Macaca mulatta: one gene and its partner. The protein of the gene in region 2 purifies or fractionates together with the protein of the main gene of each other region. This does not show direct contact. Links are inferred from orthologs where the notes say so. Each region holds a gene or a part of one and is shown on either strand. Other genes may lie near its edges.

Region 1 (3,656 bases), on a different chromosome or scaffold from region 2:
CCAGCCTGGGTGACAGTGCTAGACTCCATCTCAAAAAAATAAAATAAAATAAAAAATAAAATCCTGCGGTGGTCAATGAAGATGGTGGAAAATTCCCTATAATGGAATAAAGCAGACATAAATCAGCTTAACTATCTATAAAACAGATAACTTCATTATATTGATTTAAAAAACAAGCACTAATCTAAGTACCTTTGGAAGATACTACTCTGCCTACATCTTTTGTGGGACATAGGTAAAAGACAAAAAGAACTGAAAATAAATCATTTGGAACTTTACTTAGTAGGTTTGTTCTTAGTAGGCACTGATGTCATTCAGAAAATATTTGTGTGTATTCTGGGATCAAGTAAATAAGTAAATATGTTGATGCTGTTGGGAATCAGGGTTCTCACCACAGGAGAAGGGACATATAAGTACGGAATAAGAGAAAAAGAATCCTGTAGTGTTATATTAAAAACAGAGGTGGCAATTTAAACTCATAAGGAAAAATTTTCCTAGTTCTATCTGCTGAAAAGGCCTAGAATGTACTACTGTATGATACCAACTATATGACACTCTAGAAAAGGCAAAACTATGGAGACAGTAAAAAGATCAGTGGTTGCCAGGAGTTAGTGAAAAGGGAGTGAAGAATAGGAGGAGCACAGATTTTTAGGGTAGTCAAACTATTCTGTGTGATACTAATGGTAGACACACATTCTCATCTATTTGTCAAAACCCACAGACTGCACAACAGCAGGCTTGAGCCCTAATAATGATGTGTCAATGTAGACTCATCAGTTGTAAGGAGTGTATCACTATGTATGGGATATTGACACAGGGAAGCTATAAGCTGTGGGTGTATGGGACCAGGAGGTAATATGGGAACGCTCTGCACTTTCTGCTCAATTTTGCTTGTACCTAAAACGACCCTAAAGAAAATAATTTTTTTTTTAAGTTGGAGATTGGGGTTGGGGACCCAATGGGGTACACATTCTCCCAGGAGTCTGCTCTGGCTGAATGAGTTGGCCTGGCTCCACCTCTACTCTGCAGCCACCACAACACTTGTGGACTCCTGATTGCATCATCTTGTCTCATGTGGCATTTCCTATGTGAGTCTCCTCTTCAAATACATAAAAAACAGAAAAGAAAATTAGGAAGTTGTGCCCAGAAATAAAAGGTTCTTCCATCCACCTTCCTTAATTTTCTGGAGACATCTACCCTATTCCTTATATCTTGCCATTGGTTCTCTCTTTTCCAGGGAAGAGACATCATTTAGAAGTACCTGTGGAAGTCACCCAGGTGTTCTGCATCGATATAATCATCCAAGTTCAGGGTCAAGTCTGCCACTTGCTGTGAGCCATATTCCTAGATGAGTGAAAATAGAAAGTGAGAGACTGGGATATTTCTAGGCTAAGCGTGGGAGGGTGGAGGGAGAGTAACAGAGTCTTCAACCTAAAGAAATATTCACATATGTCCACAAAGACATATATAAGGACTGTTTATATAAAATACCTTCCTAAGGCTTAGAGACTTCTTTGATTTAGGAATACTGCCTTTCCAAGGCAGAGGCTAAAACACCTACTTCCCAGGCTCTTTCGCAAAAGGGCTCAGGCATGGTAACTGAGGTGTTGAACTGATGCATCAACTTTGAGTTGGAGGTGAGCAACATGAAGAGGCAGACCCAGCAAGGGGCAGATATCTTGTTAATGAGGGTAGCAGCAGAGGCCAGGGGGTCATATCAGCAGCTTAACAGAAGGGTGCACCAGGGCAGAGAGAATCAGCCAGTACCTAATACTGGGCAGTGTTGGTGGCAGCAGCGGTTTCCGGGGCATGATTTGGGACACTGCTTCTGGAAACCTAGCCTTAAACCTGTTTCAATGAGCTATCCTGGTTCTTTTCGTTTTGTTTTGTTTGTTTTGAGATAGAGGCTTGCTCTATCGCCCAGGCTGGAGTTCAGTGGTGCAATCTCGGCTCACAGTAAACTCTGTCTCTTGGGTTCAAGGGATTCTCCTACCTCAGCCTCCCAAGTAGCTGGGATTACAGGCACCCACCACCATGCCTGGCTAATTTTTAAAAATATTTCTAGTAGAGACAGGGTTTCACCACATTGACCAGGCTGGTCTCAAACTCCTGACTTCAAGTGATCCACCTGCCTTAGCCTCCCAAAGTGTTGGGATTATAGTGTGAGCCACTGCGCCTGGGTGATCCTGGTTCTTTTAATAAACCCTTTTTGATTAAACTAACCCAAGAGGTTTTTGTTGTTTGAAACCAAGAACCCTATCTGACACAAGATCTAAATGTTCACCAAAAGGGAAAGGAATAAAGAAATTATGGTGCCATGAGAAACTACATAACAGTTAAAACAAATAAGGTACATCTACATGTATTTCCATGTCAAGACCTCCAAAACATCGAGTGAAAAAAAGGCAAAGTGCAGTATAATACATAGAGCAGGATACTTCCACATGGTCACACACAAACCACTAAGACAAAAGTTAACAAAAAGAAAGTCACTGTCCTTGTGGCACATACAGTCCCATGGCAGAATAAAAGCAAAGCACAAATAACTACACAATTACAAGCTGCAATGAGTGTCACGCAGGAAAATAAAATGATGGCGTAGAGAGACATAATTTAGATTTTTTTGGCAGTAGGAATGGTAGGAGTGGGTAGTCAGCACTGAACTTTTTGAGGAAGTCAAACATGAAAGAGAATTGTCCAGGCTGAAGGAATGGTGGAGGGCTGTGAGAGGGGCAGATGGGGGAGGGGAAGAGCCTTCCAGCATAGGAAATATAAAGTGCAAGGGCTCCAAGGCAGCAAAGAATTCAATTTATTTAAGGAACTGAAGTAGCCCACTGGAGTTACCTAAGTTTTTTCCTTCTGTCTTGTCACTGAACAGATTTACTTTATTTAACCATTTCCCTGTTGACAGAAAGCCCCTCCTTCTTAATTCCAGGTGGTAAATATCTTTGTGTACAAATATTTTTTATACTTAGGGTTCTCACCTTAAGATAAATTTCCAGAAGTGGGATCACCGGGTAAGGGCTACACGAACATTGGAGCTCTGGATCCAGACTGTTAAATGGGTTTCAAAACAGCCATTCCCATCCTCATCTCATCAGCAGACTTACGTGTCTCAGAGACTCACCAGCACATTGAGGATCATGCTGCTCTCCACGGTGATGGCTTTCACAAGGAGCTTTCTGGACCCATCCTTATACTCATACCGGAGGACATACAGGTCCTTATTGTTGTTCCACCCAGCTGGCAGCAGTTCTGACTTCTTATCATTGGGACCCGGCTGGGAAGACACCACAGTTGAGAGGAGAAAGATCATGACCTCAAAACACAGAATTATAAAGAACCTCACAAGATAAGCTAATCTTACCCGCCTCACTTCACAGATGAAGATGTGGAGGTCAAGAGAAATGACTTGCCCAAGATCCTACAGCAAGAGAGAGGTCTAGGGCCCAGGTCTCTGGGCTTCTGTTCTACTGTGCTCTCCCTCATATTGAGCTACCTTTCTGACACCGCATTGGAACCTGTCAAGAATCTGCAGTGTTGGTTTAATAATCATCTCTTCCCCATCCCTCTGCTAAGAATAAAGCCAGTCACCTTGAGGATCACTGAGAAGTTCTAAGTAGTGTTTTTCAAAGTTTGGACCTTAGGCTAACTAC
Region 2 (3,656 bases):
ATTTGAGTCATGGTGCGTAAAATAACAGTATAGCCATAATTGTGGTGGCTTGGGCCATCAGGCAAACTCTCTGATATAACTAGTTGTTTTGTGTTTGGGACAGAGAGGCAAAAGGCTTTTGATTTATTCGAGAGTCCTCCACTGTAGTCCATAGTGAGGTGATTTTCTTTTCTCTGTTTCCCAGGTTGGGACATTCGTGTTTGCTTAGTTTGAAAATGTATCATCATCTACAAAGAGTGCTAAAGGGATGTTTAGGGATGTAATATGTGGAAATTCATGTTTGTTTAGCTGCTTTTCTCTGGACTTATTTTTATCATCTGGACTTGTGTGTCATTGTGGATGGTTTTTTGTTTCTAACATCGTTAATACTTGGGTTCAGGGCAGATCATTTCCTATCTAAACTTTCGGGTATAAAATGCCATGGGATAGCTGAATGGCTGCCATGGTTCCACTCCAGAATTTCAGGATTTCCTGAGTGGATGAAAGAGTTCTACAAGGATTTGGCCACTGGGTCACTGTCGCTTTTACATTGCAGGTTGTGCCATGAGTGGGCTAATTGCTGATGCTAAGACTTTAATTGATAAAGCCAGAGTGGAGACACAGGTAAAATTGGCATTATCTCCCTTTTACCAGGATACTTGAGTTGCTTGTTTAGTGATTATGTAGCTGCCTGGGCTATACTGCAGGTGTCTGTGTCAATATTAGATGTGGCTCTTGGGAGTAATTTTGGGTAGAATTCCCAGTTAGAACTTTCTGGGGCTTGGAGTTTAGCTGTCTGATCACTGCAGTTTTAAAGAGGCTCTGGTCAGTAGTGCTGACAGTGTCTTCCTTTTTTTTTTTTGGCTTTGCCTTATATAAAGCATGCATTGTAATGCATTGTTTCCTAATTGACTTTCTGTGGGAGCATCACGGCAGGAGGTGGACATAGTTAAAGGATATTCTCACCTCAACTGCCTTTGTTGCCAGGCTTGCAAATAACAGCCCTCCTCTGGTGAGTAATAACTTGTACCAGCTGACAAATACTGATCAGGGATACTGTTTTTTTTGTTTTTTTTTAAACTTTGTAGCTGCTGCTTGGAGATAGGCTAGTAAGAAAAATATATCTCACGGTAAAATTTTTTGCACTTACTTGCAAGTTTGCTGTCTGTACTTATGTAAGAATAAGTCATTTAACTTAAACATCAACAGAATAAGCTAGAGTCTTTGAGGGAAAGAGGCACTTTTAGTTTTTGACAAGAGTAAACTTGGTGCTTTCAGGGCATATTCCTCTTTTTCAAGGCAAAAATTCTCTTGTCCGTCATTGCTTAGAGTCCTTGTGATAATGTTTATTTCCAGAGCTATTTCTCTTCCTCTCATGTACTCCCAAGTACTCAGGGTTAATGTTAATTAAGAAAACCACATTTGAGCCTTCAGTTTCCAATCCCAGTTTAAAGGAATGTGCGTAGTGAGATGGTGGGCTGCCTCAGTGTCCTTATTAGAAGGGTGTACCATGGTTTGCTCTTCTTCTAGAACCACTGGTTCACCTACAATGAGACAATGACAGTGGAGAGTGTGACCCAAGCTGTGTCCAATCTGGCTCTCCAGTTTGGAGAAGAAGATGCAGATCCAGGTGCCATGGTGAGTGTGATACTTGTGTCGAGTTTTTTTTATTGTTCTGTGGGACTTAGGACATTTGTCCTGTAAACATAACATTCCCAGCCCCTCTCACTCCTTACTTCATAGCCATTTATCTTAATATCTCTTGCCTTTTGGTTCTAGTCTCGTCCCTTTGGAGTAGCATTGTTATTTGGAGGAGTTGATGAGAAAGGACCTCAGCTGTAAGTACCATTTTGTAATTTTCCCCCATGCTTTTGTGGGGAGTTATTTTAATTTGGGGTGGGGACTGAGAAGATTATTGTAGACTATTAGCCAGGTATTAGCACACACCTGTAGTCCCAGCTACTTGAAGGCTGAGGCAGGAGGATCTCTTGAGCCCAGGAGTTGTCATCCAGGCCGTAGTGAGCTTATGATTATGTCACTGCACTCCAGCCTGGATAACAGAGTCAGACCCCATCTCTTTAAAAAATGTATTTAAAAAAGATTATTGTAAAAAGGGCTATTGTTAAGTGTGTGTGTATATATATATATGGCTTCTAATACTAAAGTTTAGTGATTCTATGCCGTTTGCCCAAATTTGGGGATTCCATGAAGAATTCCTCTATTGGAACCAGTGCTAATTCTGGAAGGAATTAGAAGTAACTTGTTACTATAGTCAGGGTATGTTTTAGAGCTTTGCTCTGGAATGTTGATCTGATCCTCATCCTCAGATATTTCTAAGATAGGCATAAACAAGTACCATATTTATACATACTATACTTCTGAATCCCTAAGGAAGCTGCTAATTTTCTTAAACACTTTCTAAAATGTCTGGTTTCTCCAGACATAGAACATCTTTTAGATCTGTGCCTCAATATATTTTTTTTTTTTTGAGACGGAGTCTCGCTGTGTCACCCAGGCTGGGGTGCAATCGCCGGATCTCAGCTCACTGCAAGCTCCGCCTCCTGGGTTTACAGCATTCTCCTGCCTCAGCCTCCTGAGTAGGTGGGACTACAGGGGCCCGCCACCTCGCCCGGCTAGTTTTTTGTATTTTTTAGTAGAGACGGGGTTTCACCGTGTTAGCCAGGATGGTCTCGATCTCCTGACCTCGTGATCCGCCCGTCTCGGCCTCCCAAAGTGCTGGGATTACGGGCTTGAGCCACTGCGCCCGGCTGCCTCAATGTTTCAGTGGTGTCTCCTGGCTCTAGGGCCAAGCATTTGTGCTTTGTTTTAGTGAGACGTTTGTTATGTAAAGTGCCACCACTCCTGAGCATTTTAGTCCTCATTTTGGGGGTTTTGCAGGTTTCATATGGATCCATCTGGGACCTTTGTACAGTGTGATGCTCGTGCAATTGGCTCTGCTTCAGAGGGTGCCCAAAGCTCCTTGCAAGAAGTTTACCACAAGGTAATTAAGTATTCTCACAACTCTTACTATTTTTTTAAATTCATGGTATAATTGACATATAATAAAATGTGCAAACCTTAAGAGTTCAGTTCTATGAGTTTTGACAATTGCAAAACAAGGTAACACTTTCATCACCGCCAAAAAAATGCTCATCCACATTCCAGTCAATCTCTTTCCCTCCTTTACAACCATGTTTACCACTGTCCATTAGTTTTGTCTGTTCTTATGCTTTGTTATAAATGGAATTAAACAATTAGTTTGTATCTGTTTTGTTTAACACTGATTTTGAGATCCATTCATGTTGTACCAGTATTTCCATTTGATGGCTGAGTAATATACCGTGGTATGGGTGTACCACAATATGTTTATCCTCTATCTCCACAGCTTTACTTAGCGTTTTACAATTGGTTCTTGAAGCAAGTGGGCATTTGGTATTTTCTTTGTGAGATGGGAAGATTTGGTTTTGGGTAACTCATTGGTGTGATTGAAGGCTGCTGTACTTATTCAGGTGGTTCATATGGGGAAGCCTGCTTACATTAGCTCCTAATAATATTGATTTTACATGTGGAGGAAATTAGGTACAAAACAGGGTAAATATGAATTTTCTAAATCATTAGGCTACCTCTTAGATCATTTGGGCATTGTTCATAGGATATTGCCAATAATATTATCTTCT

The links. The genes of interacting proteins can lie anywhere in the genome.
Region 1: the proteins of PSMA5 (region 2) and PSMF1 purify together in Homo sapiens (co-immunoprecipitation; 3 studies listed by BioGRID and IntAct, with this or other methods). This does not show direct contact. The link is inferred for Macaca mulatta from reciprocal best matches to the Homo sapiens genes PSMA5 and PSMF1.

What each region holds. Positions count from the first base shown.
Region 1 is NC_133415.1:83,009,032-83,012,687, forward strand, and holds part of PSMF1 (proteasome inhibitor PI31 subunit), read right to left. Parts: intron 3,281-3,656; coding exon 3,128-3,280; intron 1,345-3,127; coding exon 1,262-1,344; intron 1-1,261. UniProt on the Homo sapiens protein: Plays an important role in control of proteasome function. Inhibits the hydrolysis of protein and peptide substrates by the 20S proteasome. Also inhibits the activation of the proteasome by the proteasome regulatory proteins PA700 and PA28.
Region 2 is NC_133406.1:130,793,052-130,796,707, forward strand, and holds part of PSMA5 (proteasome subunit alpha type-5), read left to right. Parts: intron 1-535; coding exon 536-603; intron 604-1,509; coding exon 1,510-1,617; intron 1,618-1,758; coding exon 1,759-1,817; intron 1,818-2,877; coding exon 2,878-2,980; intron 2,981-3,656. UniProt on the Homo sapiens protein: Component of the 20S core proteasome complex involved in the proteolytic degradation of most intracellular proteins. This complex plays numerous essential roles within the cell by associating with different regulatory particles.